4 linked regions of the Schizosaccharomyces pombe genome follow. The gene in region 1 interacts genetically with each later gene. Each region holds a gene or a part of one and is shown in the gene's direction. Other genes may lie near its edges. The genes, in order: laf1, sec28, oxr1 and mak1.

Region 1 (6,643 bases):
GAGTTTTCACACAATGTCATGGATATGTTAAATAGTTCGGTAAAGAAACTCACCGTTGGTGAAATAGAAGCGAATCCTTAATATATCCAAAAATTTATTGGAGAATAAAAAACCGCTACTGCCTTGTCAAGACTTCCATTTCCAATGTCTTTTATAGTGTACCTGTTTGTATGTTTAATATCAATAGAAGTTTAATTTTTTGGCTCATTAAGTATTTACAAACATTAATCTTCATCTTCAATCGGATCATCAATATCTTCTAAAACTTGATCTTCATGCGCTTCAATAACGGGATCAGAAACAGATCTTTTTCCATAAATTACCATATAATCATCAAAAATGCCTCTTACAATACCTTCGTTGTTCCACTGTTGGAATCGAAGTTGTCTCCACTTTCGTGGAACGGGAGACGGTAGATAAAATAATGTACCTTGAACTGAAAACCACGTAGATATTTCATCTCCCGTGTAGGAGTACGGAAAATCATGGGACAAACAGTCAGATATGCTCAGCAAATCACATACATTAAAAGCCTCATCCGTTGTAACGCAAGAATCAACGTAATTTTCAAAAAGTCCGTAACGAAAAACAGATCCGCTTAATCCACTCTGGTTGATTGTCGATTCGATATCCACCAAGCTTCGTCTTTTGGAAGTAAAGCATTGATCAACATTAAGCATTCGTTCTCGCTGGTCACTTTTTAATGAAATACAATTCTTGTTTTCTTGGCTTTTACTGACTTTTACTCCCTTTATTCGTTCCGAATTGCCCGTTTGCTGAGATGAAGCCTTTAGCACTTCATCATCTCCTTCCCGTTTGTTCCATACAACTTTTCCAATGGCATGCATCATTCCAAGGCCAACGTCCTTCTTGAAAAACGAATTCTCATTTTTATCGGATTTTGGGATATACGCACTTTTATAATTTTTAAATCTTGCGTAGGCCTCCGAATCGCTTTTTGACAATCGTTCAAGAACCTGCGCAGCTTCTAAGCTAAAATCATTCCCCTTTCCTTTCCCCTCTTTTACTTCTCTAATATTTTTTGTTCCTTTCTTTTCAAAAGATTGAGAGATCGATAATTGTAAGGAATTTATCGCACTCCTCAAATCCCCTTCGCTGGCAGAACAAATATTCTCCACCAAACTCAACAACTTTGGAGACTTGGGAACACCCTCTTTACGTAGAATAGAGCCAAGGCATTTTTTCATGTATGTCGGCGCAATAGGATTAAACTGTAAAACTGTTACACGTGGATCCTGAAGTAGATCATTACCCATTATCTGCACGCTATTAAAGGAATTTCGATCTTGACTATTAATACCTTCCAAGTTGTTTAACTGTATTTCTGTAAGAACCATGATGATGGAAAAGGCGCCTCGCGATGTCAATGCGGTGCGAATGACATTACGAAAAGCATCAAGAGAGCCATTGAATTTAGAAAGGTGAGGAATTTCATCCAAAAAAATAAACTTTTTCTTTCCTTGTGCATTTTTTCCACGCTTTTGAATATTATTTGAATCCATAAGCTCTAACTCTGGATAAGTTTCGCATAAAGACATAAATCTACTAAACTTTTCCGTGAGCGAAAGTGTATCTGATTCTTGGTTTGAAGGCTCTTTTAGGTTCATAGGGTTTAGCCATTCTATGAGACTATAACCTAATTCTTTAGCCAAGACCTGAACTGCGGTACTCTTTCCACAACCAGAAGGACCACAGATCAAAAGTAACCTCTATGATTTTGTTAGCCAAGAAATATTTTTGAGAGAATTAGGGGAGATTTAACATACACTTTCTAAAGAATCCGTTAACATCCATTGCTTAATTGCACTTATTTTGCTTTTATGCACGGCAAGATCAGCCGCTTTTTGAGGAATGTATTTTTCAAACCAAACTATGCGCACCGTTAATTTTTGAACCTTTTTAAATTTTCTTACGTTGAAATCGATCTTCTTTTAAATTATTGAGATGAACAATTTTGTTTTCTTCATCAGAAAAGGCTTCAATATCTTCTTCATGAATATCGGTTATCGAAGCATTTTTGTCGCGTGAAGTTTTTGAAACTAGAGAAGGTTTTTCAATCTTTCTTATTTTCTTCTTTTTTAATGATCTCTTTGTAGATTCATGAAACGACAACTGTCGCCTCATGCCAGATATATGTTTTATTCAACAAAGAAATAGGAAGCTAAAGGTAGAGACTTTGTAAATCATTAGATAAAATATATATTAATAGTTCACAAAATTTTAACAGCACAAAAAAACGAGTGAATTGATTAATTTACTGCTGACAAGTAAATGTGTGAACTAGTGAAAATATACAAGTACTGTATATGGAAGAGAATAAGTGAGTAGGTTTCTTAAGTACTCTGAAACTGCTTCCTATAAAGAAGAGTAAAAAAGACATGTGTATAATTTATTTATAAATCATTTATTTGTACATTTCTCTTATTGTAAGATATATTGCGAAAGTATTTATTACAAATTTACTTTTTTTTCTCATACTGTAAACAATGATCATCAATAAAAAAGTTAGCTTTTTAATTAATGAACATCTGAACGATAAAGAATGAATAAATAAACAAGTAAAATAGTGATATATTTCAATTGAGAAATTACTCTAATGGACACAGAAATGTATTTCTCTTCATTTATAAAATCAAACAATTGGCATTTTCAATTATGTCGTATATGAGTGCATTAGGAACTAGCAGCTGGAAAGGCAAAGCTGTAAATATTAAGAATATAGTAATGAGTATATTTAACCTTGATTTGGATTGCGACATTACACTGGAAACCAAAGGAGGAATTGTTTCATTAGAAGCAGTCTAATAATCCAATGTTGCTGCATCAAAACTCCCTATTTTGTTGATAAACATAGTTAGCCGAGCTCTAACTCTTTAAGAACCGATATGAACTCCATTGGGAAATGAGCAAGAATAGAAATCAACCAACACTACAGAAAGTTCATACCCATACATCTAATGTGGTACTTTTAATCCCCTATCCATCAGTATTTCGCTTGGCTTAATTATATTTGATGGGATGTATTTCCTTTTTGGAATTGATTTTTCGCATAATACTGGAAACAGAAACCCTTGTGAGCAAAGAAAAACTTGGGAAACCCACTTGATTAATATGGCAAATAATTTTTTTCTTCAAAATGGCATTTATTTTCCATTTTGTATTTACCATTCAAGTAACATGTTTTTTTGACAACCTAACCCTACCTACCGGTTTCGACATGTGTTCCATCCATCCTTGGGATTTTACTAACACCAACAATCGTTTGGCATAAGGTGAAACTTGGAATTGCTGTTGGCTGTAAATTTCATCTAAAGTCGGTCGCTCTTTTGACTTTTGCATAAAAGAATTGTACATAAAAACAACAATTTGGAGTAATTTCAGAGTCTACTTGATTTAATTGAAAAGGTTATCGACAGCTTGCTCGACTTTATCAAGGAAAAAGGTAAGATGAAATCGAGTCAAACGCTTGTTTATTCGATCCCTAGAAATGTGGAGAAGGACACATGTGCGGCAGCCATTAAGGCATATCAGTACCTAATATCTCCGCCGCCTTCTCCCATTCCAAATGACAAAGTTGCAAGTACTGTTGATGTACCTAAGTGTTCTACAATACCTGAATCTCCAAAAGATTCTATTGTGGAACCAAAGCCGACAGCAACACCTGTTGCGCAACTGCATTCCAAGGTTTACGATCTGTACCGAGATTCACCTAAAATTTGGCTTCGCCGAGAAAGGCAATGGCTTCAGCGTCATTCTCCAGCATACAGGTTTTCGACTCCAGCTGCCAAACGTCCAAGAAGGCAACCCAGCTCGTTTCTGGATGTGCACGCTTCTAATACCCGTAAAAGAGGTTCTCCTGATACGCCGGACTCGGGACATTCAACTCCGCATTCAAAAGGAGATGTTCATCCTGGAATGCCTCAACATAATACGCGTTTCAAGCAGTCCAGTAGGGAGTTTTCCTCCAACACCCAGGCCATTGATGTCGCCAATACACCATATGAGCTATTGCCTGATTATTCTCCTGATATGTCTGTTTTGGATAAACGTTCTCATCCTCGCCCCCTTCGTAGCGAATGGAAGGGCCCTCCCCTTGATCTTTCCAATGATGAGAATAGACACCTTTTACATCCTGCTGAGCTACAGTTGGCTGCAACACTTCGATTGCCTTGTCTCGTTTATCTTGACAATAAGCGTAGAATCTTTGCTGAGTGGCACAATCGCCGTACTCAAGGCCTAAGCTTTAGGAAAACAGATGCTCAACGTGCTAGTCGTGTCGATGTGAACAAAGCTAGTCGTCTTTGGAAAGCTTTTCACGATGAAGGTTTCTTTGACGACTAATTCGCGAATCGTTCATAATCCTGCTGGCCTTTCAAAAAATAGATTTTTTCTCTCTTTTTCTCTTTTGGCGGGTTAGGGAAATAATCAAATTTAAAAATTTCGAAAAACCACGGATTTCATTTTCGTTGGATTATTTATTTTTTTCTAGGTGTTTTGAATTTTTTGTTTACAATCATTTGCATCTCGGTAAAACCTTTCTTTTTTTTTTTGGATATTTCGTCTTGAAGTCGGTGTCCATCGTTTTATCTGGCCAATAACCAGTAGTATATACCTCAAGTCCCTCTTTTCTTCCTTCGTTCACTTTTTGTTTTTTTATCCTCCCAAAGATGAAAAGCATCATGTAGTCAGCATTTGTATTAAAAAATTCATTAATACAGATGTGAAATAACTCTCTTTTAAAAACGTTCGTTTCTCCTATTTACAGTAGATATTGTTATTTTTATACCTAATAACCGATAACCATCAGTTCCCTAATCAGACGGATTTTAGGGGTTTTTAGTTATTTTACTCTACTCAATTAGATCCAATGCTTAGCGGATAATTAATAATTGATTATTTATTCTTTGCTATTAAATTAATTAAACCATAGAAATTATAATGGATGTCCGACGTTAATATCCCAGTATTAATATACCCCAGTGTTGTAATGTAATGAATATATGGTCAAATCCAGCTTTTCTTAATCCTTGCAAAAAAAGTAAATCGACACGTAAAAACTTGCAATACCCGTGCAAATTTTAGTAAAAACCGATAACATATATCCCCAAACCAATTAACCAATATAATAACCCAAGAGCCCTGCTCTAAATGAAGTTTTCAATCTTATTGCAATTTTCAACTTCACATTGCATCTAAATCAAGAATTTACTGAAATGTTATCTTCTAGCTTTCTAAAAATTTATTGCATTTAAATAGTAAATCCAACGTGTAATAAAAGTTGGAAAAATCCCATGTTGAATGATATCGAAACTTCTCAAGTAAACAATTTAACAAGCAAACGATCAGGTTCAATGAGATTTTGATAAACAGCATCCTTAAGTGCAAATGACATGTTGACAATAAGAGAAATAGCCAAAGCTGTTCCTACAATCAATGGGCCCCAATAATCAGTCATTGGCGCAGGACTGCGGGACTTGATCATTTGAGAACGCTTGGCATGAAGCTTCCAAGCATAGAACCCAATGAAAATAGCTAAAAGAGTATAAACTACTCCAAAAGCCTGACCAAGTCTTTCTCCAGCACTATTATATAATGCAAGAGCAAGAGAACCAAGCAAGACCACGACATGAAGCCACTTCAAAAACGTACGCTCATTTGCAAGCCAAACTTTGGCCTCAACCTTAATCGGACCACTGACTCTAAGCGGAATCTCTGGTTTCTTGATATGGGGTGGAGTAACAAACGTTTTACCATGATGCTTAAACGATCCATAAGTAGATGGCTTCAGCAAACCAGGTATGCTTCTGAAGTTGAAATGGTCTCCGTGCTCATTTCGATACACCTCTCTATTATCTTCGGGCTCTTCTGAAACAGGGTGCATTTCATTGGCCTTTAAACGATTGACCAAAGGTGAGGGTTGACTAGGTTCGGGTGTCATATTCTGCTTTAAAACTCTTTGATTCCTACGTTTAATGTAAACATTTCGAGAGCCCGCAGATCCCTCGGGATGGGAGTACACCTCTTGAAGATCTTTTCGAATATCTTGATCCATTGAAAATACCCACATTGGTAAAAGAGATACGTATTTTTCAAAAAGAATTGCAACACCATGCTCATATTTCGAAAAACCATCAATTTCAGAAATTAAATGAGAATTACGCAATTCAGAGATCCAAAGAGGTTCGTCTTCATCATATCTAACACATTCACGGATTTCTAGGACACTATAAGGGAAACGAGAATACTCTCCTTTTCTTAAGTGCTTATATGGGAAATCAGCATCGTCAATATCGTGACGATGCCAATCTTCGGGGTCTCTACAAGGACGTTCGATGTCCAAAGAGTCTTCACGAATCATAACCCAGTCTGAGTCAAGATTGATACGAACCTCATCATCGCCTGGAATCTGAAATGCGGTACGAGTGTAAACAGAACGGAGAACAGGCTGCAAGTGATTGTCAACGATTAGCTGTTCAACATCTTCAATTAGTTTCTTCTTCTGATCAGAAGCAGTTGTCGAGTGATCATCCTCAACCTTCCTAAAATCATATCTCCCACTTAGAAGCTCTCTAACCTTCTTCTCGCGGATAGTGAACCGGTCTTCACTATGTGAAAGAGTACT
Region 2 (6,115 bases), on another chromosome or scaffold:
CGCTTTATTGATATCTTACTATTTTATAAACATTAAAAAAGTGTCATGTTTCCTTCCTACTTCTTTTTGTAATTCGGTTTTCTGCAACTATAGTTTGAACTCATAAATTAAATCAGATACACAATCTGAGGATCGGATGCAAAACTAAGTTTGAAGTAATCCCTGCAAAGAGCTAGCTGATTCAATAGTACGAAGCAAGAGTTTAATATTAACAATCATAAAGATTTGCGCTAGATTACAATTTAAGCGAAATACAATTCCAAGCCTTCAGGCTATCTATTTAATAGTTCGGTAAGATAATGTGAAGATGTCCGAGTGTGATTAAAAGCAGTTAAAACACTTCCCTTTGAAATAAATCAAATAATACGACCAAAGACCAACAAGTTCAGGGTTCACTTCTATAAGTCTCATAATCAATATTTTAGCTGATTTTTTAAGCAAAATTGCAAATTCCACGGAGTGCGATCACATCGACACTACCTGTTTATAAGAATATATAGGAGTATATATATAAGAGGCAAATCTCTGTCAGGATATTTCCAGAACACCAATACCTCAATACAGGCGATTAGAAAGGAAACGATTTCTAACGCTCTTTAAACGTTTGGATTGAAACTAGTAAGTATTTATATCTATGTAATAACTGTTTTGAGTGAGACCCCTACGCGTCTTTTCATTGCTTTCTATCTTTAGGTTTTCTACGTTTTATTTATGCGATATTAATACTTATTAGATTTATTTCATTTTTAAGTAAAATGTCACAATTTGCTGAGTTCAAATTACCTGCCATTAAGAACGAGCCTCCTAAACACTATGGTCCCAATAGTGCTGACAGAGAGGGAATCGTCAAGGCCTACAAGGAGTTAGAGGCTGAATTACCTGTCACTATCCCTGTCATCATTGATGGTAAGGAAGTTGAAACGAATACCATTGGTGAGCAGCGTTGTCCTTTTGAGCACAAAAAGGTCGTTGCTCGCTATCACCGTGCTGGTGCCAAGCACGTTGAAGATGCCATTGAGGCAGCACTTCGTGGAAAGAAGGTCTGGGAATCCTTACCTTTTGCTGACCGTTCTGCCATTTTCTTGAAGGCTGCTCATTTGATAAGCACCAAGTACCGTTACAAGCTCATGGCTGCTACAATGATTGGCCAGGGTAAGAACATCTGGCAAGCTGAAATTGACGCTGGAATGGAGATCATTGACTTCCTTCGCTTCAATACCAAGTATGCTAGTGAATTATATGCCAGCCAACCTCCCGAAAACACTCCTGGTGTCTGGAACCGTATGGAATATCGTCCTTTGGAAGGTTTCGTTTATGCCATTACTCCTTTCAACTTTACAGCTATTGCTGGTAACTTGGCTGCTGCCCCCCTTCTCATGGGCAACGTCGTTTTAATGAAGCCTTCTGACCATGCAGTCCTTTCTAGCTACATTGTTTACCAAATCTTCCGTGAAGCTGGTCTTCCCGCTGGAGCACTTCAATTTATCCCTGGTGACGCTGTTGAAGTCTCCAAGGTTTGTTTCAACCACCCTGAGTTTGCTGGTCTTCATTTTACTGGTAGCACAGCCGTCTTTCGTAGCCTTTGGGGAACAATTGGCGAGAATGTTGCCAACGGAAAATACCGCACTTACCCCAAAATCGTCGGTGAGACTGGTGGTAAGAACTTTCATCTTGTACATTCTTCCGCTGAAATTAAGAGTGCCGTTGTTAATGCTGTTCGTGCTGCTTTCGAATATCAAGGCCAAAAGTGCTCTGCCCTTTCTCGTCTTTACGTTTCTAAGTATGCTTGGGAAAATGGTTTCCGTGATGAGCTTACCAAACAGGTCAAGTCTCTTAAGGTCGGTGCTCCTTTAACTGATTTTGCTAATTTTGTGGGCCCTGTTATCCATCAAGCAAGCTTTAACAAACTGAAGAAGGTTCTTGAGAGTGCTGCTTCCGATTCTGAAATTGAAGTTTTGGCTGGCGGTAAAGCTGATGATTCCGAAGGTTTCTTTGTTGAACCTACCGTTTTACTTTCTAAAAACCCTAAACATGATATATTCGTTAACGAATTGTTCGGCCCCGTACTGTCTGTTTATGTATATGAGGATGACAACTTAGACGCTGTTTGCGATCTCATCGATACTACCACTCCTTATGGTTTAACCGGATCCATCTTCGCTCAGGACCGTGTTGTTGTCAGAAAGTTGACTGACCGTCTCCGTAATGCCGCTGGTAACTTCTATATCAATGATAAGTGTACTGGTGCTGTTGTTGGTGAACAACCTTTTGGTGGTGCTCGTGCCAGTGGTACTAACGATAAAGCTGGTAGCGGAATGATTCTGTCTCGATTCGTTTCTCCTCGCTCCATCAAAGATACGTTTGCTTATGCAGACTCTGTTTTATACCCTTCCAACTTTTAAGTTTGTTTTGGCCTTTTTGATTTGGATTTAATTTTTAGAATTTAGATAGACATTGGAGTTGTAGAGTGTTTTACTCTGTACTTTGATACTGCCATAAAAAAGACCACAACCTTTTTTTTTTTGGGTTTAGTACAATATGTGAGGAATAAAGGAAGTATATATATATATATATATTGATTAGTTACCTTGAGTTAAACTCAAACTTTCAAAGGTAGTCTAGGTTTTACAATTTTTTTTTTTCTTTTTTTTTAAAGCTCGCCATTTGTTATTCTAATAAATTATAATGTTCGCTTTGTTAACATGTATTGATTTATAACACTAGATTTGTTGCATTGTATATAAAAGCCAGTGGACCAAAATGTAGTTTGCTGGTGATTCTTGAATACAACAACGACCTGTAGAAAAAGGATCTCAATTATCGAACATTTTACTTGCTGACTGCGAAATATATTATATTAGGCTTCGGAGCAATTAGAAAAATTACAAGTCTTGATGGAAAGTTCGTTTGCTTTACATTTTGTTGTAGGGTTACTCATGTACAAACACCATTAACCCACATACTCTCTACTCCACACATCGCCCAACATAATTAAAACTTTTAACATGTTTTCATGGGAGGCTAGTTTATCTAATGGTAAGAGATGAGTTGGGAATTAAATAACAACTAATATTTGATAGAACTGTATTTTGTTCGTCAATACTTTTATAGTGGAAACTATACAAAGTTATTTGAAATTGACACGACATCCATGTCTGAAAAAGGTCTTGAATTGACCGAAATTTATATGGCAAGGGCAAAATTAGCTTTAGGTGAAAGTTTAGAATCAATCCAAAGTATTTTAACTCAAAAAACGCCTGGATCAGCTGCTATTCTGGCGCTGGCTGGGGAGGGGAACATGGAGTTAATTATTGACCAGCATGGCAATTCAGACAGTGTGGTACAAACATTAGGAGCTATTTTTCAAATTAAAAATGGTTCTTTTGATGATGCAATGGATTTATTAAAGAAGTCAGTAGAGAACTTGGAGGCGGTGGCGCTTCAAGTATACATTCATTTACGAGAGCACAAAATTGAAGCTGCTGAACAGACATTGAAACAGGCTTTGGATTGGGCTGATGAAGAAATTGTACTACAGCTGGCACAATCTTGGATTAAAATAGTTAGTGGAGGCGTCGAATCCTATAATGATGCATTTTATGTTTTTGAAGAGTTAAACGGAACTGATAGCAATCCAATGACTTTAACTGGTATGGCGTGTGCAGACATATGCTTGTTGAGACCTGAAGAGGCTTTGAGCTCGCTGAAAACTGCCCTCGATTCTCAACCAAATTACGAGGAGGCACTATCAAATATGACTACTGCAATCACGGATTTAGGCCCTGATGCTCCTTCTCAAGCCAAGAATATACTTTCATCTTTTACAAATTCTTCTACACTGAAGTTGAACGATCATTTAAATGAAAAGGCGCAAGAATTTGATACTTTTTCAACTCAATTTTTGAGTACGGCTTAATCCAATAATAATATTGTTTAGAATCTTCAATCCATTAATAAACTTCAAATGTTTGCATTTTTAGTATTTATTCATTGACTATTGCTTCACTCAAGTAATGGCTCGTTGATCTGTCTGGCAAAGCAAGTCAATCCAGTATTGCCTCGATAAATTTCAAGTTTACCAGAAGTAAAGGTATTAAACTAATTAATTAGAAATACTTAACCGCATGCAGAAGAAGACTCATGTAGACATAATAACAAGAAAACGCACCCGAATATATCTCGAAATGAAACATTTAAATGAACGCCGTCACAACAGGAGCGTCTTTAAACCGTTTACTTTTATTTATCAAATACATTCATTAATTAAAAATGAACTATTATGACTATCCACCTATATATTTGTTTTTAAAAATCTAGAATAGGTGGTTCTTGTCCAAAATTACTCAAAACCTGCAGTGCCACAAAATGACAAGCAACAAGTTTGCCTTTACAAATAGAAAAGAAAGATGTTTTGAAATACACAGGTGTTTGGAATTTGGAAAAAGCAAGAAAACCGATATTAAACGATAAGACTTTAAGAATCGAAGATGAACTTGCTCAAACGGCAGTGGCACCATGACAGATTACAACTATATATGCCAACATTTGCTTAACCCCAACATGTATCAAAACTCTTTAACTAGCAAACGTTCATTTTTGCGACATCGAACACTTAAATAAGCATGTATGAACGTATCAGTTTGTAACTCTCTTTGTAAATTTAGCGTTACTTCGCTCAAAATAGTTGGATTGTTGTGTAGTATTAACACATACTACATACACGCATTTGTTGTATTAAGATTTGAATCGGTACGCAGAGTAAAAGAGATACTTGCTACTGTTCATTCTGAATCCTATTAATAAATGATGTTGAAGTTCATACTGTCAAATATTTGTACATTTTCATCCTCCCCATTCTTCCAAATTCGCACTATAGCATTGAAAGCGGGCACATATTGTGAGGATGTTGCTCTTAGAGAAAAATGCAGATGTAAATACACCGAAGTACTATCAACTTAACTTTTTAGATAAGGTCTTTGTTGTAGAAACTTCTTTTATTCGGACTGTTGACATTTGCCAGGTCCGTTGGATCACTAGACATACAAAAAAATATTCTGTTAAAATCGACAAGACACTATAAGCACGTACCAGTGAAAGTATAACGATTTCACTTTTCCAATAAGTAAAAAGCCTTTGTTTCTGTAATTGTTTCATTCTTACGAATTCTAATAGCTCGCTTACCACCTGATAGTGTACACGCATTGTAGTTACCTTTTTCAACATCTCAACTTCTTTGACGGCTTAGCAATCTTAGTATCCATTTAGGAAGTATTAAAGGAGAACAGGTATTTGTAACTCCCTTTATAGTTGGAGACCATTGCTGCTCATTAAAACCCTGGTTTCTTTGTAAATTGTACGCAATTTTGTTTTTTGGGTTGCTTTGTTTACATTAAAGGAGTTGATCCACTGATTTCTCATTCAAAAATTAAACAGTTCTTGATTTAATTTCATCTAATACCTTATCGCAACCGTGATAGTATAATAAATTTGACTGTTTACGAATACCAAAGTTTGTTTGTGTCATTACACGATTTTTCTCAAAGAATCCTCCTGGTTTTTTTAACCAAATTGTTTAAATAATAGTTTCTTTTTACTATATAATAGTATTCTTTTGGATCTCTTGGAATTATCTGGCAATTGGGTTTTTTGCTTATAGTTGGGTCCACTTCACAAATATTTGAGATTTAACGACATCTATTATTTCTTTTTTAATCCAAAAATCCTTATTTATCACCTTTTCTGCTGTTTTTACAGAAAATTGCGGAGATTAACTTTCTTTGTCTCGACTTTGAATTATCTCCTTGTGGGGATTTGGAATCTGTAGCTGCCTTTTCACCATGGGATGCATGTCGAGTAAATACGCTGATACATCAGGAGGAGAAGTCATTCAAAAGAAGCTTTCAGATACGCAAACCTCAAACAGCTCTACAACTGGAAGTCAAAACGCTCGAGTTCCAGTCCTTGAAAACTGGCTTAATATCGTCCTGCGTGGAAAACCACAAAATGTGGAAAGTTCTGGAGTACGCGTAAAAGGAAATTCTACTTCAGGTGGAAATGACATTAAAGTTTTGCTCTTAGGCGCCGGTGATAGTGGGAAAACGACCATTATGAAGCA
Region 3 (6,463 bases), 1.6 Mb from region 1:
ACATCGTTCTAGCATTTTTATTAATACAACACTTTAAGATGTCAGAGCTTCAAGCTGTTAGTTATACCCAATATACTGCTCTTCTATTTAAGATAATTAAAGTTTTTAAATCTATATTTAAATAGAATAAACTTGGCTGATAGAATATGAAAAACAGACGAAACGTTCAGTCAGAAAAACCTCAAATAGCCTCCAAAGAGGCAACTTTTTAATAGATGGTATATATGAATAAAAGAACTAAGAGAAGGATAATTCTCAAACCTTTAGTTCTATAAATCTGGCAGACTTAGAAAGTTGTAGATTTTGATTAGATCACGATTGCGAAGTAGAGTCCAACAATTGCAAACTCATCAAAACTGCACTGAGGATTACGAAATTTTTAGCGTGTATTAACCTTTATAAAAGTTTTACATATAATTATTAATGGATAATCTGAGCTGAAGAAATGTGTGCCTAAAGCGTAAACGTAAGAATGATTCGGTGTAGCAAATAAAGGAAAATAGCAAGGAATGAACGCAATGCTTTACCTTTGTTAAAATAATTTGCTGAGCGAGAACAGAATTTCAAAAACAGGCACAGGTGATTTCCATTATATCAAAGATACCAAACGTTTATTACGTTTTGGTTAAACCACCTGCACACACCCAGAGATTGCATACACTTTTGGCAACTCTGGTAAAGTGAATTGAAACATACCTTTTACTAATTACGAGTCGAATTAGTGTTTTTGATGACTTATTAAATAAATGTCTGATTTGTTGAATTATTTACAGTCTATTGCTGCTACATCAGAAAAACTTTTGGAACCGGAAAACCCAAACGCAGCACGTTTCACAGACGCGGTGCTACATACTCATGCTATAACTGATTTAATTCGCGATACTCAGAAGGAAGAACTAATTGCAGCTGAGTTCAAATCTCTACCGAAGGATTGGAGTGAAAGGTTGGCATCAGAAAACCCTGCAGACTACGTTGCTTGTATTGAGGAACTACTAGATATATATCCTATGCAAGGTGGCCGTGAATATTTGGAGACTCTGGTTGAGAAATACAACTTACATATGTCAGGAATTGAGAATTTGGAAAACGTTTTACTGGAACAGAAAGAGCAATTGCAGCAACTTGAAAAACGACAAACCGATCAGGTGTCTGCTAGGGAGAATATTCTACAGCGTGAAACTTCTGAAATCCAAAGACTTGAAAGAGAAATTGAAAAAGTGAAGCAACTGATACAATCTTAGGAAGGCTATTTGCGTTGGTAGTCAGATCGACTTTTCGTATTGGTGAACATTTAGAAAAGGAGAAGCGAGGTCGTTGTTTTATCATGGATTTGAGCAAAGAACAAGAAATGTATTTAAGCGAGGATATAAAAGACCATGGACTCATTCCTTTGAAGTTACATCCTCAAAGAAGCACCCGAGATATTTCTGATTGCAGTTATCCTTCGACGTCAGATGATCGATCGGCTTACTCCCAATACAAACTGATGAAGCTGAAGAGGAAAAAAAGAAGTCGATGTTTTGATATATCATCCTTTAAAAAGCATATTGAAATGTCGCTTGCTAAGAAAAAAGCAAGTTCGTCTACTGTTACTTTGAAGGCTACAAAAGAGCTAGAGGATTATGAATACCTAGAATATGAAAAACATAAAGAGAAGAGAAGAGAATCTTTGGACTGTTTGCTCCAGGAATTCTCTAAAGCGGCAAAGATATTGAACGAAGATAATTAGCAAACTAAGTACATTACAACTCAGGAGCATAATAACTCATTGTTTTTGTAATATTCTCATTTATAGAATAGTATGTGAAAAATACAATAATGTTCATGATAAGTTAAAGACGGCAATTAGATTACTGGCTCAACGCCAGCTTTTGCATTGGACTCATTTGTTGTAATGAGTTCTTAATATTTATACAAACATAAGTACATACTTGTTCTTAAAAGTTCTAAAAGATTTTATTTAAGATATAAATAAAAGTTCAATAGCATAGTATGATAGCAAGTAATGGAACACTATGTATTTATTCTATATTTGATTATTAATATAGAGTAAAAGTCAGGTTCATAGTGTTTCTATTGACTCGTCAACTATAATTATTTTTTGTTGTTACTGAATGATAGAATTTGAACGAATGTTTTAATTGCTAATACCAAGGCTGCTGCTCCACCTTAACAATCACACATTACGCCAAAAAAATTATTTACTCGATTTCTCAAAAAAAACAATAAAAAAGGATCAATAAGAATACCTTTATTAAGAAAAACTTCTTCTTTGGAAAATTAAAGAATACACTTACTGTTGTTTATTTCAGTGTTTGTTATTGTATTCACAATTATTTATTTGTTTACTTATTACATAAGGCTAGTGGATCACCTTAATCTTTCTAACTACACACACCATAAGAGTACAAAATTTTAGCAAGTATTTTGTATCAATTGAAATGTTTAACTTTACAAGACAGTATAGTGTTAAAGACGGCTTAATAACAGATGAATTGGCCAGTCACATCGTTGAGAACTTGCCAGCAAGATATGCTTCTGCTGAAACTTGGAAACGAATCTATTCGTTGCAACATGACGGCGCATCTCTTCAAACAATGTACTTAGCCTGCGAAAAGGAAAAAGCTCGAAGCGGCCATCCTAAAGGGGCTTGCATTTTAGCTGTGCGCGATACAGACGGCGATGTTTTTGGAGTTTTTATCCCTGATTATTTAATTCCTGCACCTCATTACTTTGGTTCCGAGGAAACCTTCTTGTGGAAATATTTTCCTCCCAAAAAGTATGTACATTACCCTTTCGTAGGAAATTCCAATTTTGTTGCATATTGCACCAAAAGCTTTTTGGCATTTGGTGGGGGTAATGGAAGATACAGCCTTTGGCTTGATGGCTCTCTAGAGTACGCTTACTCTAGTCGTACTCCTGCATTCGAAAACAATCCTTTGAGCTATCGTGGCTGTCCTGACCAACGAATCCAAATCGTGGACATCGAGCTCTGGGTATTGGAGTAATATCAACTAACGAATGAAAAGAAAAAAGAAAATAAAAGATGGACTCGGAAATGTGCATCAGCCCAAGTTTTATATTTATATCAAGATTAATATTTTACCGTGCTTTCTTTATGACTAATTTATTCAACCAAAGACAATTTTATGCTGACTCTATGCATTGATTATTATTCTTAATTCAAGTTAACTCGTTGATTTGCATGTTCAATCAATGAATATCGAGTTTACCAGAAATTCGAGCCGTAGGACTCTTCCCTCCCATTTGTGATGTATAGCTTTCTATCATCAGCTAATTTTTAATACTTCTTCTCAATTCCGGAAGATTACGTTTGTTAATTGATCAAGCATGAATATCCTTGCTATTAATTTCTTTACGCCTTATGCATTGAGTGAACGAATCAAATGAAGAGCATCCCCAATATCTTCTCCCCAATTGTCTATTATTTATTAATTTTCTCTTTTTCTATTCATAACTTTTAATGCTACACTTAGTATATTTATTCACGTGGTTGCTTTTCATCAACAATTCGTATCGTCCCTAATTGACGAATCGATTTCTACCATCCACTTTATATCAGTAATAATAATTATTATGAAGTTTTATTTATTATGTTTCTTTTTGATTACCGTGTAAACACTTGAAACCTGTATTCAAATCTCGATAAACTACCATAAGATTAGTAAAATGTTTGCAACCACTACCCAATTGTAGAAAACAAATTGACAAAATTTACCAACTTAACAGGATAAATCACCGTTTATATCTTCTGTTTATTATGTGGAATTTTTGTGGTTACTTAAATAAAACCACTTTCTTTCGCCAATAAACTATAAAAGAAATGAGCTATGCAAATTTAATATCCTAAATTTAATTACTCTTTGATTATTAACGTCTTTATAAATTCCTTTTTAGTCTCTAGTTGATGAATTGTTTAGAATAATCTTTAAGTTATAAGGCAGTGGAGCACGGCATCCTTAAATGACTGTTTGGGCTTAAATGATATTGAGAAATATGTCTAATCCCTCTACATTGTCGAAATGCCTCCATCCAAAGGGCTGAATGGCAAGCTAGAAAAGCCAAAACACGCTCTGCAAGGTAATGTTTTTGGGATTCAAAAAGTGTTTGTTACTAATTTTTAGCGATTGTTTTGTCGGATTCTTATAATTATCGGTTTCGCCCTCTTACATTAGATAAACCTCGCGTATGCAATTACCAGTGTACACTTTAAGTACTAATATTATTAGTGTCTTCTTCCTTTAGCAAATACCCCTTTAATAGAGTACACTTTTGAGTTTTTGGCATTGGCCGGGGTGCAAGAAGTTTATGTATTTTGCTGTGCCCATGCAGGACAAATTCGAGAATATATAGAGTATGTGCTAAATTGAGGTCTTAAATTCGAATTTCTGATACGATATAACTAACACAATATAACCCACAGAAAGTCAAAGTGGAATCTTCCCTCTTCCCCCTTTAGTGTAAACACGATTGTGTCAAGAGAATCTCTGTCGGTTGGTGATGCTTTAAGAGAGCTCGATTCAAAACAGCTAATTACCTCCGATTTCATACTCGTATCAGGCGATGTGGTATCCAATGTGCCTCTAAACGAAGTTTTGAAAGAACATCGGAAGCGCCGTGAAGATGATAAAAATGCTATTATGACAATGGTTGTACGAGAAGCAAGTCCATTTCATCGTACACGCGCCCGTACAGAGAGTTCTGTTTTCGTGATAGATAAAAAGACCAGCCAATGCGTGCATTATCAAGCTAACGAAAGGGGAAAACATTATGTTTCTATGGATCCCGAAATCTTTAATGAGCATGAAGAGTTGGAGGTTCGAAATGATTTGATTGACTGTCAAATTGACATTTGCTCCAATGATGTACCTGCCCTTTTTACTGAAAACTTTGATTACCAAGACATTCGAAAAGACTTCGTATATGGTGTTTTAACCTCTGATCTTTTAGGAAAAAAGATTCATTGCCATGTTGCTAAAGAAAATTATGCAGCTCGTGTTCGTAGTCTTCAAACTTATGATGCTATTAGCAAAGATGTTCTTTCTCGATGGGTCTATCCTTTTGTTCCCGATAGCAATCTTCTTAACCAAACTTTTAGTTATCAAAGACATCAGATTTATAAGGAAGAAGACGTTGTTCTTGCTCGTTCTTGCATTATTAAGGCACGAACTTTGATCGGTGCCTATACCAAAGTCGGTGATGCGTCTGTGGTTGCGAATACTATCATTGGTAGGAATTGTACCATAGGCAGCAATTGTAGTATAGACAGTGCTTTCCTTTGGGAAGATGTTGTCATTGGAGATAATTGTCGAATTGGCAAAGCCATTCTTGCCAATTCTGTAAAAATTGGAAATAATTGTTCAATTGAAGATGGTGCTATAGTAGCTGCAGGCGTTGTTATTGGGGATAATACAATAATTGAAAAAAATAAGCGTCTTACAACTTTCGAGAGTCACTCTCAAGGAACTTTGAACGATCCATCTTTGGTAGGGATTGGTGGACGTGGTCAAGAATATCATGCCGAAGAGGATTCTGATGATGAGGGAGAGTTTATGGAGGCTTCAGGGCTTATTGAAAGTACAAATGAGTTACATTTATCTGATTCAGAATCTTCAGAGACAAGTTCGTCTTCTGAAGAAGATATGGAATTTATTCCCTTTTCAGCTAGACGCGATTCTGCCAATACAATTAACTCAGAGGATTTCGATGAAGGAGATTTCAACAAGGAAGCTCAGCAGAGTCTTGAACGTGCCTTTGAAGAAAACCACCAAATTGATATTGCTGCTCTTGAACTCAATACCCTCCGAATGGCCATGAATGCCAACTATCACGAGGTGCGATCCGCAATTGTTCTTGCTCTTTTAAGGCGTATCATGCACTTAGATGTATCCCCCAAGGAGGCACTAGCAAAAGTAATGACACGTTGGGGTCCATTGCTTGCAAAACTGACATTTAGCCATGAAGAGCAAGTTGACAACGTATTAACGCTGCAGAAGTACTGTGTCCGTTTGAGTATGACTCGGCACTTTTTACAACTTTTGGGATATTTCTACCAATTAGAAATTGCTGAAGAGAATGCCATTCAAGAATGGTATTCTGATCCCCGCTCTAGCGAAGGAGAATTGGCTGCGCTTCGTGATGCCGGTGGCAAACAATTTGTCGACTGGTTGAATACTGCTGAAAGTGAAAGCGAGAGTGAAGAAGGGTCAGAATAATAGTTCCCTTACAAATCCTGAACTCTGACTTAAAACAGTGTTATGAAAGTGGTTTCTGTCTACTCAAAAAAAAAGGGTCACTCATAATTTAGCTGGCTATTATTTTCTAGCAAATAATAATACGATAGAGAAGAAAAATAAAATTTTGGTCTACAGGGCGCGTTGTTAAAATCCAGCACTATTCTGTTAATTACACGCATAGTTATTTACGATAATATCAGTTGGAC
Region 4 (10,729 bases), 540 kb from region 1:
TAATTTAAAAAAAAAAATAAATAAATACCTGCGAGGTTTCTCGTTCTTACCATTTAATCAAATTTTCATAAATAAATATGTGAGAAATTGCAATCCAATTTTCGTCACAGATATTAATCAGACGAAGGGTAAAATACTCTGCTTAAAATATGAATCAAGATTGAACAATCTTAAGAATTTTATACATGTGTAAATCTTCAAATAATATCAGGAAAAAAAGAATATGTAGAAGGAAGTAAACAATTTTAGCCTGTTGATTTGTAAATTTATTTTTTTTAATTCACACTTCGAGCTTTAACATTAAACAATTATGTAGTTAATTACATGATATTATTCTGTTTTTGATACGTTGCCTTAAACAACAATTATTGTAGAGGCACCATGTTAGGTTAACCTCGTCTTTCCCTGTATATGAAATTAGCCCGCTCACATATTGTCTTTAATGATTTTTTTGGATGTATGGATCTAATTTATATACTGCGTTTTAATCATACATTATTTGATTTTTTATCTTTTTATAAAGCAGTTTTACTCAATGACTTCAATTAAAGTAGTGTGCCGAATTCGGCCCACGAACCAGTTGGAACAAGACCTTGGAGGAAATAATGTGATATACCCATTAAACGATTCTACTGTTCATATCGAGGTAGGTTTCAACAATTGATCTTTACTTTAGAATTCGGCTGACATGATTAAAAGACTAGTGATTACTCAGGAAACTTTGTATTCGATCGTGTTTTTCATCCTTCTAGCACTCAGAATGATATATTTTCGTATTCAATTGAATCGACAGTCGATGGTATGTGAATGATAGTAAAACTTTACACGGCGTTGAACGGATTAATTTCATCGTTGTCAGCAACAGCTTGTATGAAATTATAGCATAGCCTTTTTTTATATGCGCTCGTTTTGACGCTTCATTTGAAACGAATTGCCATTTTAATACATTGTTCGAATCACATTCAAGTTGTTCTGAATTTCATTAAATATGTACTAATATATTATAGACTTATTCTTGGGTTATAACGGAACAGTACTAGCCTATGGACAGACAGGATCCGGCAAAACATACACCATGATGGTATATTCACAATTTCACCTGGCACACTTTTCTAACAATCTTTAGGGTATTGAAAATAATTTCGAAAAAGAAGGAATGACTCCAAGAATGCTCAGGCGTATTTTTGACAAAATCCGCGATTCACCATCTACTACTGAATACGAAGTGAAGGTATCATACATGGAAATCTACATGGAAAAAATTCATGATCTACTTTCCGGTAAGCCTTCAAATGCCGTAGAAATTTTGCGACGTTCGTATTTAATTTCAGCAAAATTAACCATGATTTACAGAAAAAAATGACAGACTGACGGTTCATGAAGATAAACTTCAGGGAGTTTATGTTCAAGGTTTAAAAACGATTTACGTATCAAGTGAAACGGAGGCATTGGATATTTTAAATAAAGGTATGGGGTCACGTGCCGTTGCAAGTACGTCGATGAATGCGCAAAGTTCACGGTCTCATTCTATTTTTGTACTCGAAGTTGTCCAAACGGACACTGAGTCCGGCGAAACTCGACGAGGCCGGTTGTTTTTAGTTGACTTGGCAGGTTCCGAAAGCGTAGGAAAAAGTGGAGCAGTCGGGCAAACCTTAGAAGAAGCAAAGAAAATAAACCGTTCTCTTTCAACTCTTGGAATGGTTATTAATTCTCTCACAGACAGCAAATTATCACATGTTCCTTATAGAGATTCCAAGTTAACGCGTATTTTAAAAGAGTCTCTTGGTGGAAATTCTCGGACCACTCTAATTATTAACTGTTCACCAGATTCATACAATGCAACAGAGACCTTATCTACTCTTAGGTTTGGACATCGTGCAAAGAGCATCAAAAACAAAGCGGTAGTAAACTCAGAACTTTCTGTTGATGAAATGAAAAGACAGCTGTATATTTATAAAGATGCTTTGTCTCGTTGCGTTTGTGGAGCCAGAATTAACAATAACTTAGACTATAATAATTGTCATTCTAACGTATGGTCAGGCGAGCATTCCCTCACACTGTCAAATCTCGCCGAAAAATCCAACTTAAAGGAAGCAGAAATCATTCAAGGAAATAGAACAATTCAGGAAAGTAATAATGACAGAGACGAAAGCACAGTTGCTTCGATACACAGACATAACTTTGATTCTGATTCTATCAATCGTTTGTATGCTGAAGCACAACTTGAACTTAAACAACGAGATGGTGTTTTATCATCCACTAAACAGCAATTGTCAGACCTTATGACTGCATTGGGCGATGCTCAGGAGCGGTATGTTGAGCTTGTTAAAAACCACAGAGTAAATTCAAATCTTACTGCAAACAACTCATTAAATGACAAACCGGGTTTTACAATAGAACAGAAAGATAAAAATTTTTCGATAAATAACGAGAGAAACAATTTTTTACAAAAACTGAGTACTTTGGATTCCTCACTGGCTGCTCTAGTAAATGTTCAACGAAAATTGATTAAAGCTTTAATTTCCAAAGAGCGACCTCAAAATGGAACAGTAATTAAGAAAATTCAAGGGGGCACTTAAAAGCTACACTTTTTTACTCTGCTTTGCGAAGGATTATATATGTTTAATTAATTTCTTTAGAGTTGTTGAGCTCACATTTAATCATGAAATATTGCATCTCGTCTAGCTGCTTTCTGAATAAACTAATTTTCTGACTAATTATTTATGCAGCTTCTTTTATATTGCTGCAGCATTATAATATAAAAGAAAACAGCTACGCAGCAATGCATTGTTTATATGCTTATTCAGCAAATGTGTAACATCTCAAATGATGATGTAATAACAATTCAATAAAAATTTACCGTTATAATATAATCAGCGAATTTAGTAATCTGAGACTACTATTCTTTAGCAAGGATTGACTATTGGCTAAGCAATCATTACCTTTTTTAAGCTACAACGAACTGTAGTTTAAGTGTTACTTGCGATGTATATAATCTTATGTAGGATGTTTATCGTAGATGGTAAAATGTTGTATCAATATAATTATGATATTGAATACACTAACATAACCACACATATATGGCTTATAACTGAAGTCAGGAAAGAAGGTTTGAATGTATCAACATAATGCATTGTTATAAAACTACTAGTATAGAAGATTTACACTAAGGATGGAAATACGGAGAATCATGAATATTATGAAAAGTTGAACTAACGCAGCACAGTATAGTGTAGTGACTTGTTTCTAACAGAACGATCATATTTACTAGCCACCAATCTTCGCTAAACAACATTTACGCGATCTTCAATATCCATTTACATTTTGCTAACACAACTTGTTGAGTTGTTTCATTTCCCTATTTCGAACACTTTTTACCAATCTTCAGTGCTGTAAAGTCGCTAGGAAAAAAGCGTTTTAAATGGTACGCTTATAATTTCCATTGCTGGTTGCCGTGGTCAAATAACTCAAATACATCAGTTTTTTATTTGAAACGATCTTTATAAGATAGCACTTTCTTTTTGGTAATTACAGTTGGAAACTTTGTTTTATTTAGTATCTATACTGGCCTGTAAATTTAGTCTAAAAAAATGAGGCCACCTGACGATCAAATCAACAATAACGTTGGTTCTAATTCTCACTTGGAAAAGTTGAAAGAGGTAAGTGATTTCAATACTTGGATTCTCCTTTTTTAAATATGAAATAAAATGTGATATCTCTTGTTACTTAATTAATTTAAATTACTAACGTTTGAATAAGGCCATGGACCACCAGCTGCAAAAATCATCAAAAATTGTAGGATCGTTTACTAATTCTCAAAACTCTTCTGTTGGCTCTGTTCATTCTCCGATACTTGAATCTCCCACCAGTTTAAATAGGCAGCATCGAAATTCATTTTCTTTCAATAATGTATCTTCTCCTTCACTAGAGGATGAGCGACTTATTAATTTTCCCCGAGTAAATCCAAATCGATTGATGACATCCAAACGTCCCAATGAGTTATTTAAAACCTCCTCAATGAGTTCAGATTGCTATTCTCCTCAAAAATCTAGGGAATCACTAAATTCATTATGCCATTCACCTGCTCCATCCGTTTCTTCTTGTGGAAATGCTTTGAACAACGATAATACTTCTGCTTCGCACTCACTAACTGATGAGCAACCATTTGAAACAGATTCATCCGCTAACTTATTTAAGCAGTTACAGGAGAAGCGTAACCGTACCATTGGAAATGTGTATGAAATGGCTTGCTTATTGGTCTTTAAAACCGGTTTGATGAATTTCTGGAAAAACATTATTGACTTTTTCGCTCAGCAGTTTTTTTCCACTCAAATATCTGTTGTAGAACCGCGTGACCTTTCTGACATATACAATACTCCTTGGCAACTCAGATGTTATTACGATGGCGGTTCCCATTATGATCCGTATAGTAACCCTATAAGTGTTAATGACAACCTTGCTAGCAGTTCTTATGTTACCGTAGTTGCTTCGGATGGTTCAAAGGGTATTATATACAAAGATCCAGCTTCTCTTAAACATGAAGGGGATTTGCTTATTGATAGCAAAGTTGTACAAACAGTCTTGGAGCGTGCGACATTGCTTGTATATACACGTAAACAACAGCACATTGTTAAAAACACCAAGGTTCATGATAATGATTACTTTAGTTCTATACCTAATGTTGATGATATTCGCAGCATTAAGAATTCATGGAAAGTTTTTCATGATGAAAAACTTAATGAATTGAAAAAGCAGGTTGAAATTAGTGCTTCTGCAGCTCAGTTAAATGGACTTTATCCACAGAAAAAGAGAGCATTTGTTTCACATTTCAGTCAGAATCGTAAACCGTATTCCCAAAGTGACATTTCAAAAGCACAAAGTTCGTCTTTTTCGGAAGAACCTTCAAACATTTATGATGAGTATGAACAAAATTTACTTTCTCCTTGGTCAAGATCTCCAGTTGCTAGTCCCTCCATTCAAACAGATCCTAATAGGAATCCATTCTTCCAAAATTGCTTGCAAGAATCTTCTTTCGCTACTGAATCGTCAACAGAGAAGTCTGCTTCAGAGTCCGTATCAGAAACAGCTGTTAATGATGATTGTAAAGGTATGAATTTTTCTGGTAACAGGCGTCAAGAAGATCATTTGAACGACTTCACCAGTTTTCCTACTGAAACTGCTGTCAGTATTGTACATGTTCCTCTGATGTTTCCTTGTTCGGATCAAACTTCAAGCCGTGGGAGAGCTCCAATTGCAATTCTTTCTTTCAAGTCCAATTTAGTTCCTTATCCGGAAAATTTAATAGCCTCCATAGAACGTTTGATACCCTTTATTTTTTCTTCATACTCAAATTCTCAATCTGTTCCGTTACTTCCTTGTCCTACACAAAGGCATCTATTATTTAACACGTCTAGCACTGACAATACCAAGGAGTTGAGTATGAGCGCGAGCTCCGAAAACTCTGATTGTCCTCATAAAGAAGGAGAGTGCGTAGGCAGCTTTTGCAATATCAATGCTAAAGGATCTTCTCTTAATAACATACCTAAATTGCCTAGGTTTGTACCAGTTCCTTCTGAATTTTTTAAAAAAAACCAGCGATCATGGGTTACTTTAAAGAAGCATCGTTTGCTAGCTAGATTGAAGTCTCGAATTAGCAAAAAGAATTCTAAAGTGAACGAGAATTTGAGATTCTCGCTAAATGATGGTGAAAATTATTCAAATGAAACTATTACTCTAAAGAAGGATGAAATTGTTTTAGATAAATCAAAATCATATGCCTGTTGCACTTCTGAATCTCACAAGTATGTGCAAGGGCATTGTGGTGGTCAAGCGCCTCCTTTTCCCTTACTAAAGGTTATAATTGATTCTATACCGGTTCATGTGTTTACTGCGGATCCGGGAAGTGGAAAACTCACATGGGTTAATAGAAAAACTCTTCTTTACTGTGGTTTAAATATGAATGAGCAAATAGAGCTACAATTTAGTCGAATTCATCCTGATGATCTGCCAAACTTTTTAAATGACTGGAAATCTTCATTATTCTCTGGTAGTGGTTTTTATCATGAAATTCGTTTGCAAAGGTTTGATAATGTTTATCGATACTTTATCTGTCGCGCGGTTCCTTTACGGGATTGCACTGGATCTGTGCTACATTTTTTTGGAACAATGACGGATGTCCATGATCAAAAGTTGGCAGAACGAGAACTACAAAAACAATCAGCTATAGCCGCAAATGAAAACAGCTACAGGTCTTTAGCTGAAGCTTCTCCTCAAATTGTTTTTGCCGCAAATGGTAAAAATGGAATTATTTATGCAAATGCGCAGTGGTTAAGTTATTCAGGTCTTTCACTGGAATCTTCATTGGGACTTGGGTTTTTATCTGCTGTATATCACGCTGATCGCAAGAAATGTTTATTGCCTGAATCTTTGGAGGGAACGTTTAATAACCAAGACGAAAGTAATGGTACCAAAACGTTTGCGGCGGAGATACGTTTTAGATCTACCGATGGTCATTATAGATGGCATTTGGTGAAATCTGTTTGCGTAAATAATTCTGCTGATACGTCTACTAATCTCTGGTTAGGAACTTGTACTGATATTCACGATCATAAAATGTTGGAAGAAAAGCTCCAAGAATCTAACATTGAAGCTCAAAGAATTGTTCGGAGCAAAATGCAGTATCTTTCCAATATGTCTCATGAAATTCGAACCCCTCTTATCGGTATTACAGGCATGGTAAGCTTCTTGTTGGAAACTCAAATGTCTGCCGAACAGCTGAGTTATGCACGTATTATTCAGCAATCAGCTAAGTCTCTTTTGACTGTTATCAATGATATTTTGGACCTTAGTAAAGTCAGAGCTGGAATGATGAAGCTAACTAGCCAACGCTTTTCTGTACGAGCTATGATGGAAGATGCAAACGAAACTCTAGGTACCCTCGCTTTTTCAAAGGGAATAGAATTGAACTACACGGTTGACATTGATGTTCCTGATATAGTATTTGGGGATAATATGAGAATGAGGCAAGTTGCTTTGAATGTGATCGGAAATGCTATTAAATTTACGAATGTTGGTGAAGTTTTTACTCGTTGTTCCGTTGAAAAGATTGATTACTCAACCAATACTGTTGTTTTAAAGTGGGAATGCATTGATACCGGTCAAGGGTTTAACAGAGATGATCAATTACAAATGTTTAAACCGTTTTCTCAAGTAGAGAGTTCTACATTACCAAGACATGGTGGCTCAGGTCTTGGATTAGTTATTTCAAAAGAGCTTGTTGAGCTACATAATGGTAGTATGTCCTGTCAAAGTAGAAGAGGCGTGGGAACGCGCTTTATGTGGACTGCAACGTTTACAATGGATAAAACTCCTCTAAAATTTGAACCCCCAGATGGTTGTTGTCCAGTCTGTTTTTGTCCATACGAAAAAAGCAAACAAAGCACAGAAGACTATTATTGCGCAGACGATGGAAACGATAAAAGCGCGACGAATTTTGTAAAATTGGCCGTAAATAAAGCAGATCCCGGAAGAGAAAGCAACCGACGTAAACTTGAATCGGACAAAAATGTTCAATCCAACAAATATGTGAATCCTTTCGCTTCTGAATCGGAATTTTGTCGATGCGGCGCATCTGCTGATCCATACACAGTTCTATTTTGGAGACTCTATAGAAACAAACCTTCTGGGATCAAGTTGGATAAAAGTGCTTTAGCCGTTGTTGTATCACACACTAAATACAGTAGTGAAGCGATTGGCAACATGCTTCAATCAATTATCGATATAAGCTCATTTAAAGATATCGTAAGGTATGGAAATACCTATGAAGCCTTTGAAGAATTGCTAGAGAATCCTATGCAATCCAAGGTCACCCATATTATATTAAATCTTCCGGACATAGAAGCATATGTTTTATTTGTCAAATCACTGCAACTTTGTAGTCTATACAAGGATACAAAATTTATTTTGGTGACTTCCACTCGACAAAAAGAATCATTATCTAAGATTTTTTCAGATAGCGAGGATTGTAATTCGGAAAGCATCCATTACGTTTTAAAACTTGTGAAACCATCCAAGTTTTTTCCATTATTTTATTCTGATTCTGAGGAAAAGGGGAAAATCGGTGCACTTAATGATATGACTCGAAAGGCTGCAATGGAGCAGAAGGCTGATGCTGAAACACTCCGATATAATCTGGCAAAGTCTGGCTTTAGCGTGTTGTTGGCGGAAGACAACATTATCAATATTAAGGTTATAAGCCGTTACCTTGAAAGAATTGGTGTCAAATTCAAGGTCACCATGGACGGTTTGCAATGTGTTGAAGAATGGAAACGTGAAAAGCCTAATTTTTACTCTCTTATTCTAATGGATTTACAAATGCCTGTTATGGATGGTTACCAGGCATGTAATGAAATTCGTAAATACGAATTGGAAAACGATTACCCTAAAGTTCCTATAGTTGCACTTAGTGCGAATGCTTTACCTCATGTTGTTTTAAGCTGCAAAGATAGTGGTTTTGATTCTTACCTTGCCAAACCTATTACTTTGCAACACTTGTCCTTAATCATATCTGGCATACTTAATTATACGAACCAATCAAAGTTACACAAATGATTTGATATTTAATCTTCACTCACTTTTGCTTGTATTTTTAGAAAGGATCTCACTGTTTTAATGCTTTTATTTTTACTTTATATTTTTTCTTTGTTTTGATCAAAAGCTTATTTAGTGCCTATATTTATTTAAATTGACAACTTCTTATTTTGAATATTTTCCAAAATAATAATTATCTAAGCATCTCATATTTTATTTTATTAACTTTTTAATGCATTTATATTTCCAGCGCCCAGAACCAGTATAATAATATTAAATATCACATATTCCCCTTGTTTAATGTAATGTGTATTTTATTGGCAAGTTAAAAAAAAAATTGTATTGTGTGCTAATCAATCAGTTTTGAAATACAAACCAAATTAAAGTATAGGAAGCAGTCAAATAATCAATTCGAGGATACATTCTCATTGTTAAATGCAAACTTTAGGTAATTCGTAATTAGCTCTTGTAGCTCAGTGGTAGAGCGCTTGCCTAGTAAGCAAGAGGCCCAGTGTTCAAGTCACTGCTGGAGCAAATTTTTTCCCTTACCATAAGCGTAAATTATGCTACACTTCACTATGCATCACTACATATATTTGTTCACTGTGTAGACAGGATTTTTATTCTAATTCCAAGGGGAATGCTATAAGCCAGTCCAGAAAGAAAAAACAAGTTCTTGGTTGGTATCAATACCTTTCGTCGTACAAAGTATATTTAGTTCAATTACTGGCTTTGCCTACAACCGATTAGATAATGCATCAATACTTATACTACGTTATATAGTATTACTATTTTACATGTCAGCAATACTACACTAGCTACATGTAAGCTACGCAGTTTGGTATCTGATTTAAGGATACGTAGAACTGCGGTGAGTTTTCCTTGTGGTCTATTATATTACAATACACAGGTTGTATAAGTAGCAACTGAGTATAGGTATTGTATTAACTGGGTTATAATGTTACCTATCACTAATATAGCTCATAACTGAACTGAGGAACGAGGTTCAGTTGTAACGCTATTTATAATATTTCTAAATAGTTGTTATCAACGGGTATCTATGTATATAGACGGATAGTTACCCGTGATTATCAATAAACGGATCTTAGCTAGTATTCCAACATATGACATATAGTGATACGCAACGTAATGTATCATAGCGTAGTGTAGTATTGCTGACACTACAGTTGTGCAACACTCACTGTATGCCATATGTTAGGATTTTAGTTCAATCCGTGTATTGATAATTGCCGATAACCACCCTTTTATTAATTTAAATAGACTCCCACTGTTATGAACCATTAAAAAGATTATAATGAAGCCACCACTAAACCTCGTTCCTTAGCCCAACTATAAACTATTTTACTAATAGGTTACATTGTAACCCCAAATTTAGAATATCTTTAACGAGTTGCTACTTATTTTCCTGTACTACTGTATAAGTCGCAAGGAAAACTCACTGCAGTTTTTCGTATCGTTAAAATAGTTATTAAACTGCGTAGCTGGCAATTAAAAAATCACTGCGTTAAATGTTGAAGGTGATGAAAACTCGACTAACGAAATTTCTGTAAAGTAAGTTACTTCCCTTACCTACCTTGGCAATGCCTGCTTTATTAAAAATAAATAAAAAGAAGAATGGACAGACTAAAATAGACAGACTGTTTAGCAAAAGGAGAAAGACTTCTTTAGCAATTGAAAAAAACCACTCTAAAGCATCTATGTGTACTGGTCAATCACCATTAAACATCATTTCGTACAATGTTCCTCCATTGATTGTATTAAGAAACAAAACGATACGAAACTCTATAGAAGTTTTAGTTGAGGAAATGTTTCGTGACATTCAAATGCGCCAGCAAACGAATGTTTTAGTTGCACAGTGTCCGCGAATGATTGTGGAAACACAGTTGATAGGCTTATTTCAATCAAACTATACCAGTGTTGCTGAAGAGTTAGAACAATCTATACGTACAGGAGACATCCGTCGTCTTTACCTAAATAGATCTGACAAGTTCTGTGGTGAGTCTTGCTTAATTTTGCGACCTGAGTTTGATAAATTATTTACATACTATTTGTGCAAGTTCAAAGATCAGGAACATATTTATACGCTAATCTTTAAGTTGCATAAACTATTGATTGAAAA

What was found.
Region 2: mutations in laf1 (region 1) and sec28 together harm fitness more than expected from each alone (negative genetic interaction), as found in Schizosaccharomyces pombe (one large-scale study listed by BioGRID).
Region 3: mutations in laf1 (region 1) and oxr1 together harm fitness more than expected from each alone (negative genetic interaction), as found in Schizosaccharomyces pombe (one large-scale study listed by BioGRID).
Region 4: mutations in laf1 (region 1) and mak1 together harm fitness more than expected from each alone (negative genetic interaction), as found in Schizosaccharomyces pombe (one large-scale study listed by BioGRID).

What each region holds. Positions count from the first base shown.
Region 1 is NC_003424.3:5,248,860-5,255,502, reverse strand, and holds laf1 (clr6 L-associated factor 1 Laf1), read left to right. Parts: upstream 1-3,268; 5' UTR 3,269-3,468; coding exon 3,469-4,362; 3' UTR 4,363-4,983; downstream 4,984-6,643. Other genes in the region: RFC-like checkpoint protein Rad17, read right to left, coding at 225-1,730, 1,788-1,891, 1,935-2,145; vtc2 (polyphosphate synthetase), read right to left, coding at 5,336-6,643. UniProt on the Schizosaccharomyces pombe protein: Component of the RPD3C(L) histone deacetylase complex (HDAC) responsible for the deacetylation of lysine residues on the N-terminal part of the core histones (H2A, H2B, H3 and H4).
Region 2 is NC_003423.3:2,324,501-2,330,615, forward strand, and holds sec28 (coatomer epsilon subunit protein), read left to right. Parts: upstream 1-2,973; 5' UTR 2,974-3,005; coding exon 3,006-3,036; exon of another isoform or gene 3,037-3,080; coding exon 3,081-3,916; 3' UTR 3,917-4,001; downstream 4,002-6,115. Other genes in the region: put2 (delta-1-pyrroline-5-carboxylate dehydrogenase), read left to right, coding at 756-2,402; gpa1 (G-protein alpha subunit), read left to right, coding at 5,838-6,115. UniProt on the Schizosaccharomyces pombe protein: The coatomer is a cytosolic protein complex that binds to dilysine motifs and reversibly associates with Golgi non-clathrin-coated vesicles, which further mediate biosynthetic protein transport from the ER, via the Golgi up to the trans Golgi network.
Region 3 is NC_003424.3:3,669,078-3,675,540, reverse strand, and holds oxr1 (V-type ATPase inhibitor and disassembly protein in response to oxidative stress Oxr1), read left to right. Parts: upstream 1-2,171; 5' UTR 2,172-2,441; coding exon 2,442-3,008; 3' UTR 3,009-3,615; downstream 3,616-6,463. Other genes in the region: ABC family Fe transporter Atm1, read right to left, coding at 1-15; DASH complex subunit Spc34, read left to right, coding at 747-1,241; translation initiation factor eIF2B epsilon subunit tif225, read left to right, coding at 4,044-4,101, 4,146-4,207, 4,251-4,375, 4,445-6,236. UniProt on the Schizosaccharomyces pombe protein: May be involved in protection from oxidative damage. Has a role in meiosis.
Region 4 is NC_003424.3:4,706,380-4,717,108, forward strand, and holds mak1 (phosphorelay sensor kinase Mak1), read left to right. Parts: upstream 1-3,329; 5' UTR 3,330-3,590; coding exon 3,591-3,659; exon of another isoform or gene 3,660-3,759; coding exon 3,760-8,610; 3' UTR 8,611-8,882; downstream 8,883-10,729. Other genes in the region: kinesin-like protein Klp3, read left to right, coding at 536-646, 700-799, 1,008-1,081, 1,127-1,280, 1,354-2,579; mug51 (variant protein kinase 19 family protein), read left to right, coding at 10,191-10,729. UniProt on the Schizosaccharomyces pombe protein: Involved in the control of the SAPK-dependent transcriptional response to peroxide stress. Also has a role in G2/M regulation.